Linked DNA regions of Rhinolophus ferrumequinum. The protein of the gene in region 1 interacts with the protein of each later gene in a pairwise test. Links are inferred from orthologs where the notes say so. Each region holds a gene or a part of one and is shown in the gene's direction. Other genes may lie near its edges.

Region 1 (6,999 bases):
GCCATGTGAGCTGGTGCATTGTCGTGATGCAAGAGCCATGAATTTGTTGGTGAAAAATTCAGGTAGTTTTCGTCTAACATTTTCATGCAGCCTTTTCAGCACTTTTCACTAATAGTAAACTTGGTTAACTGTCCAGTGGGTACAAATTCCTAATGAATAACCCCTCTGATATCAAAAAAGTTAGCAACATCGTTGCAACAAGTCCTCGAACTTAATTGTCAGACCTTATACACATAGCAGAATAATGAGTGATGAAGAGTTAACTTTGTTTTTAATATAATATACATAAAATTATAAGTTTATATAATTTAATCTTCGATGATGGCTGTGTTTAACTACTGGCTGACAAAATTCCAAGACATTGAATAATTGGTGCCTGCAAGCTGCTGTGAACAGCCTCGGGCACACCAGTCTGTATGTGCTCCAGAGCTCCCCTGGTCTGGCTGAGGCTTTGTCGGACTTGAATTACAGTCTAGTTACTCCCTCTGTCTGATCCTGGCCTCCTTCTTCCCACAGTTTCTGACCCCTAGTAACATCCTGAGGTGTGGTAAACCCGTTGCTATCATCTGAATGTTTGTGCCCCCCCAGAATGTGTTGAAACCTACCCCCCAATGTGACAGTATTAGGAGGCGGGGCCTTTGGGAGGTGAGTAGGTCATGAGGGTAGAACCCCCATGTATGGATTAGTGCCCTTATGAAAGAGACCCCAGAGAACTCCCTTACGCTGTCCATCCTGAGGTTACAGTGAAAGGACGGCTGTCTAGAAAGCTGGCTCTTACCAGACACCAAATCTGTCAGCATCTTGACCTTAGACTTCCAGCCTCCAGAACTGTGAGAAATAAATGTCTGTTGTTTATAAGCCACCCAGTCTGTGGTATTTTCGTTACAGCAGCCCGAATGAACTAAGACACCAGTCCCCTGCCAAGTGTCATCATGACTTGCAAACACTGCCCTACCCTTTCTTCCTCTGTCTTTTTCCACGGACATTTCAGCAACTTGGAATTACACAGGGCAGATGCCTTTGACTACCTGTGTGCCCCTCAGTCTGGGAAGTCAGTGGGAATCTGTGATACCTGCTGTAGCAGACACTTTTGATGTCCTGTACCACATCTCCTTGGCTGCTCTTGGACCTCCTGCGAGCTGCAACTCAAGCTGATGATGCCCCTGAATCTCTCCCCCCCCCAATAAAAGGATGCTGCAGGGTCTTTTCTAAAACTCTGGGTGACTGGAATTTTGTGGGAGTTAAAGCCCCAAAGGCAGCTCCAATACACAGAGAATAGGAGCCAGATGGTCACTGCTCAGCCCCTGTCTTTGAAACGACAATTCTGGGAAGACTTTCTAAGCTTCTCAGAGATCCTGCTGTACTGAGCACCTGTTGTGAATAGCAGTGACCTTGATAACACATCTTTGTAGTGACTTTTCGTGCTTCCCTGTCTCAATCTTTCAATTTCATCACTACTGCTTCCTGGGCTCACCTACAATAAGAACCTCTCTGCATCCAACTCCTATTCAGCTTCCGCTTGGGTGGGTGGGCGGCTATACTGATCGTTTTTTCATTGTCCCCACAAAAGAACATTCTACTCTTATTTTCACAGTTTCTAAATACAAGCATAACCAAGTGTTAAAATGGGACTTGTCTTAGAATACCTGCTGGGAACATTAGATGACTGTGCCAGTTGGAGACCTTTGAGAGGCAGATGCCAAGAAGGGTTAGATGTGCAGAAGAAATGTTGAGAAAACACCTGTATGGGGTAGTGGAGGAGGGAGAAGGAGGTTGGCGTGTGGGTGAGGATTGCTTTCCAACTATGATACGGAGCTGACATCTGTGAAAGGATGGGAGGGAGGCTGGATAGACAGAGCTCCAGACTGCAGGGCTCGGGTGATGGGGAGTTCTGGAACAAACACCGCCCAGTAGAGGGGTCCTGCGCCAGGCAGAAACAGCCCAGCTCCAGCTCTCCCATCAGACTTAGCCATGGGCTGGGAACAGATGGCAGGATGTGTGACCTTGGTGTGAGCGCCATGCTGGATCCAAAGGTGTGCCAGCTGGAGGCTGTCACTTATACTCTTGAGATTTGAGTGGCATGCCTCCGTGGCTGCCACAGAAAGAGGTGTCTCCACATTTCAAATAGCGGCATTGGCCCACCTTTGTATGATATGCTGAGTAAGGGTTCTGCCGCCGTCAGCCCAAATTGAAGGAAAGGGGAGAGAGGTCAGGGAGAAGGCGGGCAGTGAGAATTATAGGGTGCTGTGAGGGAGAGCAGAGTATAACAGCTACTTCATGCAAAAGAACGTGTACTGCTTGGCATGTATCACCTGGGTTTGGGGACATGCATGAGTCCAGAGATGGCTGCCTGACTCCTACACGAGAAGCTTCAAGGAGAGAGGCTGGTCAGAGCTGCCTGTGACCAGGGAATGAGGACGGTATTCTGCTGTCACAGTGACCTGTACAGACATGGTGGAACATAGTGGGATCTGCCACAATGGTGACCTTGCAGAGGGTCTGTGTGAAGGGACTACTGGAGGAGAAAGCGGACTTGGAAGCGAGGACCAGGGCCTGGTGCAGGGGACAAGTCTCACCCTGCCACCCTGGAAGCATCAGTCTTCACAGGGCTAGCTGGGAGGATGTAGAACAAGAAAGGAAAAAGTGACGTTTCTCTTCCCCAGGCAGGCTCTGAGCTTGGGTCAGGATGGGAGCTGGTGGGTGTGGGAGCTGTCTGGGGAAGGCTTAAGTGGAATGGGACTGACGCTTTGATTTGAATTGGACTGGACTTTTTAATACCGGAGAATCAGACTGCTGATTAACACCTGAAAGTGACAGGAAAAGCTATGAAATCTGCCCTAGATTCTGCTAGAGGAGAAGGGAGATCTGATAGAATAATTTAAAAAGACAGTGGTGTGGAAAAAAAAGGTGCTGCTTCATGATTTCACCAAATAGTCCAGCTTGTTAATAAAATTAACTGGTATAAAATATTGCTTAACATGGTAGTTTGGAAAAATGACCCCACCTTAAAAAAACACCTAAATAGTGCAAAGACCAGCCCCAGCATTTCCTTTTCATAATGGTAGATGTCTATTCCCCTGCTGTGGGAACCAGAGGAAGCTGAAGCTCTCTGACCTCGCCTGCCTTTCCAAACCTTCTAGGAGCACTGCTTAGGGCAGCGGGGAGCATTTCACGCAGGACTGGAAGGGTCCTCGGGAAGTCATTAATATATTTATTCATCAGAGGTGTCAAGGTTCTCTAGAACCTCTCGAACAGAGTTAGGCACAGTTGGTGCTTGTTAAACACAGACATAAACCTGGTTCTAGAAAGAAACGCCTGCCTTTTCCGGAGACATTTCCAGAGATCAACTCTGGGCTCCTTGAGCACCGGGAATCCTCCCGCCCTCCAAGTTCTTCCCACTGCTGAATCCTAACTCATCCTGCTGCTCCTAATTCGAAGATGCTCCCTCTTCCTTCCCAAGAGGGTAACAGCAGATCCCACTGTGCGCAGCTCCCTGCCCTGTAGCCCCCGCCTCCTGTCTTACCCCTTGCTTCCCCTGAAGTCGCGGGTTCGCTCGGGGACCGCGATGTCGCTGGGCGCCCACGAGCCCGCGGGGAGATGGAGCAGATGGCGCGCGTACGGCGGCCGCGTGGCCGGCAGAGGGCGCTACGGCTCCCGGCGGCGGGGCTGCGGACCGCGGGGCCGGGAGGAGGCGTCCGGGGCCCCGCCGTGTGCGTCTCCCGGCGGCCGCGAGGGTGCGCGCCGCTGCCGTCCCCGCCGCCCTCCCGCGGGGGCCCGCTCGCCGCCCGGCGGCTGTCACCGCGGCCCGCACCTCACGAGCTGCGCGGGCTGCGCGGTGCGCTCCGGAGCCCGGGCTTCGCCGCCGCCGCTCCGCGGCTTCCCTTTGTCCGTCGGAGGCGGCCGCAGGGACAGCGCTGCAGCGGCCGGGAGGGCAGCGCCCCGGCGCCCCGTCGACGGCCCCCGTGCGCGTCCCCCGCTGCCCCGGCGCTCGGAGCGGGCGGCGGCCTGGGCGGGGCCTGCGCGACCGTGGGGACAGCGTTGACGAGCCGGCCCCAGGTGCGGGGGCGTCCCTTGCTCTCCACCTGCGCCACGTCTGCCGGCTTCTCTTGGCAAGTTTGTCGCCCCCCTTTGAGGACATCCTTTGCCGGTCAGTGGAGTCCCGACCTGTCGTTAAATAGAAAACTCGAGCTGGAGGAGGAAGAAGAGGAGGGAGCGTGTCGGAACCGGTCCGGGATGAGAGTCCATTAAAGCAGTGGTGGCTTCTTGGACACCTTTCTTGGCTCTTTCCCACCCAGGTGAGCGCATCCTTCAGCACTCAGGGCTGGGCTCTGGTCCTGCCTTCTGGAACCCGCGGGAAGACAGGTGCCGGCGTTGGGGAGTGATCGCAGCCGGGGCGGGCAGCGCAGCGTTTATTTGGCTTTTCTGTCATCGTGGCACTTATTCTGGCCTGCCACATTCCCTGCTGGGGCGGAGGTGTTGCAGCTCGTTTGGCACCTTCGCGTGCTGCCAGGTTAAACATCCTCGGTCTTGGAGGGGATGGTAGGTTAGTTAAACCGAGCCCCCTTCCCTGCCCCCAGCTTTGGGTAATTCTGTGTCTTCGTCTTAATTTAGTCTGTATTCTTTCCTTTGAGCTTTATAATGGTAAAGCAGCGAAGCGGTTTGCTACATCCATTTTCTCATTCGGAGCCTGTGCACAGAAGGAATTTCAGGCACACAAGCGATGTTACTACCATTCTATTTTAAATACAAACACGGCAAGAAGTACTCTTGGCAGGATACCAAAGGCGCCTGTACTCTCTGTTATGTAAGGGCTTGAAAAACATATTTGCTAATTGGTAAAGTTATAAATGGGATTATCAGAGCATCTAAGAAGGGAGGGTGAAGATAGGTGAGAACCATCATTTCTACTTTAAACCAAAACTTTACTTGAAGATAAGCATGATCTTAGCTTGAGACACCCTTTAAGATAGTATAGGGCCCTGTCTTTGAACTCATTAGGTAGAATTGTTAAACATTAAAAAATAAGGTAGGTTTTGTAAAGGCCATTAAGAAACTTGGTGAAAAATTTTTGACTACTTATCAATAGTAATAAAAAAGGATCCCACAGATATCCTTTATAGCTTTTAATCTATAGCACGAGTTTACTTTTATAGCTGATGGAAACTTAGTAATTATGAGCTGCCAGTTACTAAAGATCTCCTACCCCCAAACCTGCTATCATATTTATGGTTATTTTCAGGTAAGAAGACAAAAGTAGAAAGCATCAGATATACGGATGTCAGGCACCCCCTTTTGCGCCCTACCCCAGTATTTCATTCTAATTGGTTTTGGGTGATGCTGTGGCATTTGTAATGTTAAAAGCTCTGTTGGTTGTTGTCATGTGTAGCCAGGGGTGAGACCCATTGGCTAGCATTGTGTTTTAAAATTTGTCACTTTGTAGCCCCAGGTGTGGCTACAGTGGTTTAAAGTAAGTAAAACAAAAAAATAAATAAATAAGTGGTTAAAAATATGGGGAAGAGAAAAATGGTATTGGAAAGGACATGTGTTGAAGAATTATAGCATGTACACTTTTGTATTTTTGTCTAAGTATCTTTCTTGATTTTTTTTTTTTTTTTTAAACTGGCAAAGAGTAGTTGATGTTTATCAGAGACCCGTAATTTCGTGTTGAATATGTAGGGGCATCCTAAGTGGGACATTTCTTTGTGCACAGGTGACAGGGAAGTTGAGTAGCAGTGTCAGGCTGTCCCTTTATGTTTATATGAAAAGATGGCAAGTCTTATTAAAGATTGTTTTCTCCATCAAATTAAAAACGTATGTTAATAGAGACTAGTAAATTAAATGCAAAAAGCTTTGATTGTTTTTAAGGTCAGAAATAAACCTGGCTGCTGAATCAGTGTTTTCCATCTACCTTATGTAATTCCAGAGACTCCAGTCTGGGAGCAGATCTTATGGATGGTGTATGAAGGCTTATGTAAGAACTCCGACTTTGCTTTTCGTACTCCATTAAACTGGCTGTTTTGGCTATTGCATAATTGGCACAGTACTGGATTGTTAAAGCCCAGCCCAGCCCACGCACTTTTATAATGAATTGCTGCCATCAAATTAGAGGGAGCAGCGGGTGGAGGTTTGTGAAAGAGAGATAAGAATAGTATCTAGAGGACTGATGTAACATAAGACTGTTATGCTTAGCAGGTTTCTACAGATTTGAGTGCTGCGGTATAAACCTCTCTAGTCTTTTATATCTCCCAGCAGAGGTGGATTGGCTGGGAAGCTAATGAATCGTAAGCCACAGGCCCCCCCCTTAGGCTTCTTCCGAGCCCCTGGGAGGGCCACTAGCAATATGCTCACATGGTCATACCATGTGTATATTGATAATTTTGGATTCTTATTAAATGAGGACACTTTTCCCCACTCCACTCCCACCTCCCATTATCTAAATGTAAGGCCCCGTGCACCCTAAATCTGCCCTGTCTCCAAATTATGTTCAAATGTTAACTTACAAAAATGCTTTTCCTTATTTTAATGCCTGTAGTTTTAGGAAAAGACAAAATAAGAAATCTGGCCAGTACCGTAGTTGACCTGCTGAGAAAATGCAAATTGCTATAACCTAAGGCTGTGTAGAGCTCCTGAGATCAGGTGGTTACCTGGAGAAGCAGCTGTGCCTGGGATCTCACACAAATAGGGACTCTCTTGATCTGAGTGTGAGCTGGAGGCAGAACAGGGAAGGGAGGAAAGTGGGTTAAACCCCTTCCACATCTCAGAGGTGGACTGCCAGGGGAAGGGGGAGAAAATTACCCAAACATGCTTCATTAATACAAAGTTAACAGGAACAGATAGCATCAGCTCTATGGGAGATCTTTTTGTAACCTCCTTAGCATCTGTTTCTAATAGGAATTTTAAACAGTGAGCAAACTCAGGCCTGGAAAATATCTTGCAAGAAACAGATGCGGGTTGGGAAGGACTAGGATGAACAATCAACTTGTTCTTAATAGCAGTTTG
Region 2 (7,123 bases), on another chromosome or scaffold:
TTGGTAAATGTTGACAATGTCGCTAATCATTGACATATTATCGTTCTTTGGTGTATGTTTACAGATTTTCATAATAGAAATAAAAAAGAAGTAATTATTTGGCTTGTATTACATATAAGATATCATCAACACACTTCATTAATCACTGAGTGTCTAGGTTTTTTTTTATGGTAGACTGGAGAACAATAACAGAAACACCTTATCATGAATCTATAAGGTCCAGTATGTTCTGGCTGATGCCTAACTCCAACCACACTAGTGACTCCTACCTACCCCAAGATGGAAAATTATGCTTTGTATTTAACAGTTATATGCATAAAATGAACTTATTAAGTTTGACTTCTTTTTAAAGTGCTCTTCCCTGTGTTCTTGTTCCTTAATTCCATAGGTTAATAACCATCTTCTTTATTTCAATTCAACAAATATTTCTGGAATGATGTACCAAGTTCCGTTGGGCCCTAGAAACAGCAGATGGAGTATGTTGTTTATATATACGTATATATATACATATATATAAAATATTAATTTAGACATGAAATATATATATATATATATAAAATAACAGAATCGATAGATGCTGTATTAGCGATATGAAAAAAGTGCTATGGGAATCCTGAAGCGAAATATGCAGTCAAAAAAATCAATCACTTTAGAGGAAGGACAGAATTATCTTTCTATTCTCTCTATAAAAAATGTTACAAAATATGAAGAGGCAATCAAAGAATATACAACCAAAAAATATAGAAAATAAGCATTATAAAGATATGTGGGATAGTTAATTTATATAGATTTTTTTTTTCTGAATTCGGGGATGTTTGTGTTGTCAGTTTAAAAATTATTTGTAGATAGTTTATTTCATTTCAAAGAAATATTTGCTTTCATGACCAATTTTGCATTTTTTTTCCCCATAAAGAGGACCCCCACATTGTATAAACATTAGATGTCACACAGCCCGAATCTACTCAGGTGCCTATAATTTATTTGTAAGGCACTGTTCTGGGAACTGAGGATAACAGCAGTGAACAAAATAGAGAAAAACACTCTCGTGAAGCTTACATTCTACTTGGGAGAGACAGACAAAACAAAAAAAACAGAGTAAACAAGTAAATAGTATGTTAGACAGAGCTGAGGAAGTTAAGGGGATGGAGAGTTCAGGGCAGGGAGTATGAGTGAGGTGAAACTGCAATAAATAGGACTGGTCAGAGCCGGTAGGCCTCACGCAGAAGGTGACCCTGAGAAGACTTGAAGGAACTGGTTGTTGATAATACCAGTGGAATGTAGTTTATTAGATTAGTGGTACTCCATTATTCTCCTATCCAGGCCTTGCTTTAGAATATTTGAAGTAAAGTAACCCCAAAGACCCAGTAGTAGGAGGGTAAAGCAGTAATAGTTGGAATAGGGTTAAGAAGTAAATAGCTGCCTGGTCCACTGAATCTCAGAGATTGGTACTAAATAACACATGGACACGAAAACATCATTGGAAAATAATAAAGTGGGGAATATTGTGCTTACCAGAACATCTTTAGGGAGTGAATCCTCAAGGGGCATGACTGTTAAGGAGATTTGGTCTGATTAACTGTCATACTGTATTGCTCTGTAGGGAGAGGCAAGGATGGAACCATATCTAAAATGTTCAGGGCACTAGAAGGCTGAGTGCTGCCAGACGTTGTCCTTTTCCACCCTTCTCACCCACTTAACATTCAACCTTTTCTCTAAAAGAGCTAAAGGTCAGGAAAAGAGCTAAAAATATAAATTTAAAGGGCATATTATTGGCCTGTCCTAGAAATAAAAAACAAAAAAATCAAAAAAACAAGAATGGGACTACAATTGTGAAGATTTTAAACTTACACGGAGCACCACGTTTTTATAGGCAGCTGTGGTATAGTAGAGGTAAAGGGTAGGTCAAAACTAGATGTGAGGTCTGACTCTGCCACTTAGCTGATTAGCCTTGGACAAATCAGAAAGGGAAAAACTAAGTTTTATTATCTATAAAATGGGGATAATCATAAGTTTCTTTTATGACAATTAAATGAGATACTTGTGTTTAAATGAACTTTTTAATCAACAAAGTATCATACATTTGTTTGACATAAAAATAAAGGTAGTTCATTGTAGCTAGGTAAGGATCATTGTTACGACATGTATAATAACGTAAGTTGTAATTATCAACAAATAGTTAAGACAGTGCAAAATGCCTTAAAATATCTATTTATAGTCTGTCTTCATGTAGCTTCAAGAAAACAATCTAATAGACTTTTCAACATCTTCTAACGGAATGTTAGCACAAGAGACAGACATACATCTTATATCGCAAAAACTGAAGAGGTATTTTGTTTTCTCATTCATCTGAATGAACACTGGAGGAGTGACCCTACCAAATGAAAGTTTAGTATCTAAAATAACTGGCTATTTTCTCCAAATTGCCAGCTAGGTAGAGTGATTCTTAATGATACTTCTTGTCAGCAAGAAAGATGATCGCAAGAATGAATAAAAATAGCCTCTGTTCAACAGCTGTGATATCTATAATTTATAAGCTGTGATCATTTCTCATCAGATTGTTTTGGTGTGTAAACAAGAATGATGTATGTGTGCCATTTGTGTATTTATCGTTTCTTAAAAAACCAATTTTTGTTACCTCGCATTCTTTCTGATCAATACGTTTCTCTCTTTACATATAAACAGTGTGGTAAGTGACTTCTTGTTTGAGGAATGTGACTTTGAAACTCTATTGTCATACACAATGTTTAAAATGTTCAACTAATCCTTACACATTATTATCAAGCAGCCAATATTTTTTCAGCACTGTTAAGATAGGCAACATTAAAGAATAGGACAAGAAAGGGAGGTAGGGAGGGAAGGATATATAATCACTTCATTACTAAATTCTTGTCAGTCTAGTTTCCTCTCACCATTTTTCCCCCCACTTCTATCTTTATCACATTTATTCTTTCATTAATTTGTGCATTTAAATTGCCCTTGCTTTCTTTAAAATTAAAGTTTATTGGGGTGACAACTGTTAGTAGAGTTACATAAACTTCAGGTTTACAATTCTATAATACATCATCTATATATCACATTGTGTGTCCACCACCCAGAGTCAGTTCTCTTTCCATCACCATGTACAGGAAATTGCCCTTGCTTTTAACAATTTCTCTTTGCCCCTATGTATTTTACTTTCTATGCTCACTGCATTCAGTTTCCCTTTTCATTTCTTTCACTGTTTCTGCACAGTTCCATCGCAAACTATTCGACGCTATGTATTAATATAAGCATGTGCTAAAACACAATTGAGCAAATATGCGGCTGTGATTTATTGGAGAATGTTGTGCAAATTAGAATTGAGAGCTCGGGAGGAGAGCGTCTCTTCCACCTATAGGAGAAAATAATCGAGAATTATAATATACGTGGCGGACGACTGAATGGAGCACAGATTTGAGTTCTCCATGTGCCGTGACCTGTATCTCAAACACTCAGCCTGAGCGACTTCCTTGAGGCTCCCTGACTGCTCCCGAATCAAGGCCTTTCCCGTCGCCTCCTACCCAACTTCCCTTCGACTCACGTAGTCGTTTCTACATCTCCTCTCTCCCCACTCTTTGGGTCTGTTTGTCTTTTTTAAAATTCTACTTCCAATCTCTTTCCATTCCCTAGGATTCGGCCCAAATCTCACCCTCACATTGTCCCTCCCTTCGGTGTTCCCCATAATGGGCCCCTATAGCCCACTCTCGCCCTCCAGCCTCTCCCCCAGGTAAAGGGGCGCGGTCCCCTGCACCCCGACCTCGCACACCTGTCATCCTCCGACCCCGCGCCCCCCGCTCGGGGACCCCTCCCTCGCTGGGCGCCCGGGTCCAGCCCCCACTGTCGCCGCCTGTCGCGGGGGCCCCGCGCATTCGCCCCCGCGCCCCGCCCGCCGCTCGCGGGCCTTCCCCACCTGGTCCCTGCCCCCCCGCCCGGCGCCCCCGGCCTCCCCGCGCCGCGGCCCCGGCCCTGCCCCCCGCCCCCACCGCGGGCCCGCTGCACTGTGGGTAAGCGGCGGCGGCGGCGGCGGCCGCACTCGGGAGCCCGCGGCGGCGGCGGCGGCGGCGGCGGAGCCCGGCTGCGCGCGCTGAACATGGCTGAGAAGCAGAAGCACGACGGGCGGGTGAAGATCGGCCACTACGTGCTGGGGGACACACTGGGCGTCGGCACCTTCGGCAAAGTGAAGAGTGAGTACGCGCCCGCGGCGCTGCGGCGGGCCGAGCTGCGGGGGCCCCGGAGCCCCGGAGCCCCGGGCCTGGCGGCAGGTGGGGCGGCCCCGGGCCGCGCGGAGCTGGGGGCCCCGGGAGGGCGGGGGGCAGCGCTGGGCTCCGCCTGGCCCCGCAGCGGCGGCTGGAGCCGGGCAGCGGGCGGGGGATCGGCGCCCGGGTTCTGGGGCCGGCGCCCAGCTGCCTGGCGGGTGTCGGGGAGCAAGGCGCTCCTGCCTCCCGGACCTCGGCGCCCTGTCCTCCGAAAGCGGGAGAGTGGGCTGCTCGGTAAGGCGCCCTCGGCTCTGAGACCGTATGGGTAGGGCTGGGGGATGACATCCGTCACTGATGATTTCCAGTTCCCGTGTCGTGCCAGGTGCCCTGTTCGGTGCTTGACGTGTGATTTCATTTAATCCTAACAGCAACTTGCTGAAGCTGTCATCCTCACCTCGAAGGTGAGAAAACGGGGACCCCTAGAGGTTTAGGACAGTGCCCAAGGTCACACAGAAATTGGCAGAACCAGGATGAAGTGCAAAATGTCTTCCAGTTCTGGCCAGGCTGGAGGTCCTTGCCATCCTGATTCTTTCGTGCTCCAAGACTCTGCGTTGGTGCGGCTGACTGTTTAGGGGATGTTTGGGGGCCGAGTGGTGGGTCGGTCTTTCTGCTGGGCGTGTGAACCGCTGGAATGCAGCTGGATTGGGCCGGGTTAATTACAACGGGCAAGTCTGAAGGTTGGTTGGCGTGTGTACAGTGGTTCTAGGAAGGCTTCTGGGATGAGGGGAGAAAAAAGTTTCCTTGGTGTCGGACCCAGTGAGGTGTGGGGCCGAGGAGGCCAGAACCGCTAAAGCGGATTCTGCTAAGGTCTGTTTTGTTGATGATGAGAGACCATTTTGGATGTAGAAAAACAGGCTGCTATCGGAATTTTTCCTCCATGCTAGTTAACTATTAAACTTTCCTTTTTGTTGTTGTTAACAGGAGTCACATGGGATTTAATTAATTTGTCCTCTTTCCAGAACTAGAACCAGCTTATTAAAAATACTTTGTTTGATTGTTGCAAATCCAGAATTATAAGTAGAATGTTGGCTGTTTAATTCTTTTTGCTTTGGATAGACAGTTTGGAGATTTTATTCTGAGACCTCTATTTCCTTTAAAATTCATATTTTCATCTTAAATCTATTCAATAGAAGAAACGTAGTGTTCATTCCTGTTGCCAGAATCAGCTCTTATTTCCTTACACATATCTGATACCCTTTCAGAAATACAGTTTGTTCAGAAAATACCGATTGAGCACCTCCAATGTGCTAGGCACTGCTGTAGAGAATAGGGATCCAGCAAGGAACAAATCCAGATTAAAATCCCTCCTTTGGTGGAGTTCATATTAGTAGGGGAAGACAATAATCACAGTGTATATGTAAAATGCATAGTATGTTTAGTGCTATTGAGAGAAATGAATCAGGGAAGGGAGGCTAGGGAGTTTTGTTTGGTTAGCAATTTTCAATAAGGTGTCAGGCAAGAACTCACAGACAAGGTGGGGTGTGTGTCCAGGCCTTAAAAGGTGGTAAAATTCTTTGAAGTCCCATGAGGGCTGTGAACTTTTGGGTTGTTTTGGAAAGACCTCATAAATAGAGTGGGTAGTGAGCATATGTTTTAAAATGAATATAGGAAGATCTAGGGATTGGATTGATGCCTGAAACATTACTTGTCATTAAACGGTATTGCTGAGGACTGTTGTGTTTCAGCATGATGCAATTACTCCATCAAATGGTGCATTTGCTATCTGGACATGTATGTACACTCTCAAAGTTAGATAACTTATCCTATGTCCTAAATTGTGTTAACATTTTTGTTTGTTTCTTTAAATTCTTCAACTGTAACATGAATATAGACTAAAACACCCATCACATCAATTGGCCCATTGTCAAGGGACAACTTAAATCTCTTTTGTATGTGTTACTCTTGAGCTGCTTCCAGGCACTGGCTTCTTAAAATATAAACAAACAGAAGGTGCTTTGATTTATGAGAAATCCTTTGCCTGGAGGACCCCTGTCCAATGAGCAACCATGCGGAGGGGTGTCCTAACACTATGTTAGAATCTCTCTAAAGTTAGATTGTGGTTTTTCCATCCACGATTCGAATTAGTACAATTGTTTGTTTAATACAAATTATAGAAGTTGCTACAATCTAAAGTTACTCATTTAATTCTTCAAGGGACAAGAAACAAAAGCACATGCATTTTTAAAAAGAACTTTGTTAGGTATATTGTACATATTATAACGTTAACTCATTCCAAGTGTACAATTCATTGATTTTTAGTAACTTGACCAAGTGGTGCAACCTTCATCATAGATCAATTTTCGAACATTTTTATCACCACAGTAGGATCACTTATGCCCATTTTTAGTTAATCCTCTTTCCTACCCTCAGCCCCAGAAAACTACTAATATGTTTTCTGTCGGTATAAATTTGCGTTCTCTGGACATTTCTTATAACTGGGATTATTCAATATGGAGTCTGTCATGTCTAGCTTCTTTAACAATGTTGTTGAGGTGCATGTACGACATAGCATGTGTTAGTAGCTTGTTCCTTTTTATTGCTGAATAATATTCCAGTGTGTGGGAAGGCCACATTCTGTCTACACATTCATTGATGGACATTGTTTTCAGTTTTGGGTTCTTACAAATAATGCCACCACAAACTCTACTTCACATCTAAGTCTCTGTGTGGACATACGCTTTTATGTGTCTTGGAGATATAACTAGGAATAGTTATATCCCAGGTCATATCATAGTTTTATGTTTAGCTTTTTGAGAAACTGCAAACTTTTCCAAAATGGTTGTACTTTTTTACAGTGCCACCCACAATGTATGAGGGTTCTCATTTCACCACATCCTCACCAGTGTTTG

The links.
Region 2: the proteins of MTUS2 (region 1) and PRKAA2 interact in binary tests that used the Homo sapiens proteins (3 or more experiments, as listed by UniProt). The link is inferred for Rhinolophus ferrumequinum from reciprocal best matches to the Homo sapiens genes MTUS2 and PRKAA2.

What each region holds. Positions count from the first base shown.
Region 1 is NC_046287.1:100,557,855-100,564,853, forward strand, and holds the start of MTUS2 (microtubule-associated tumor suppressor candidate 2), read left to right. Parts: upstream 1-3,988; 5' UTR 3,989-4,295; intron 4,296-6,999. UniProt on the Homo sapiens protein: Binds microtubules. Together with MAPRE1 may target the microtubule depolymerase KIF2C to the plus-end of microtubules. May regulate the dynamics of microtubules at their growing distal tip.
Region 2 is NC_046292.1:40,695,504-40,702,626, forward strand, and holds the start of PRKAA2 (5'-AMP-activated protein kinase catalytic subunit alpha-2), read left to right. Parts: upstream 1-4,022; 5' UTR 4,023-4,108; coding exon 4,109-4,202; intron 4,203-4,372; exon of another isoform or gene 4,373-4,508; intron 4,509-4,539; exon of another isoform or gene 4,540-4,675; intron 4,676-7,123. UniProt on the Homo sapiens protein: Catalytic subunit of AMP-activated protein kinase (AMPK), an energy sensor protein kinase that plays a key role in regulating cellular energy metabolism.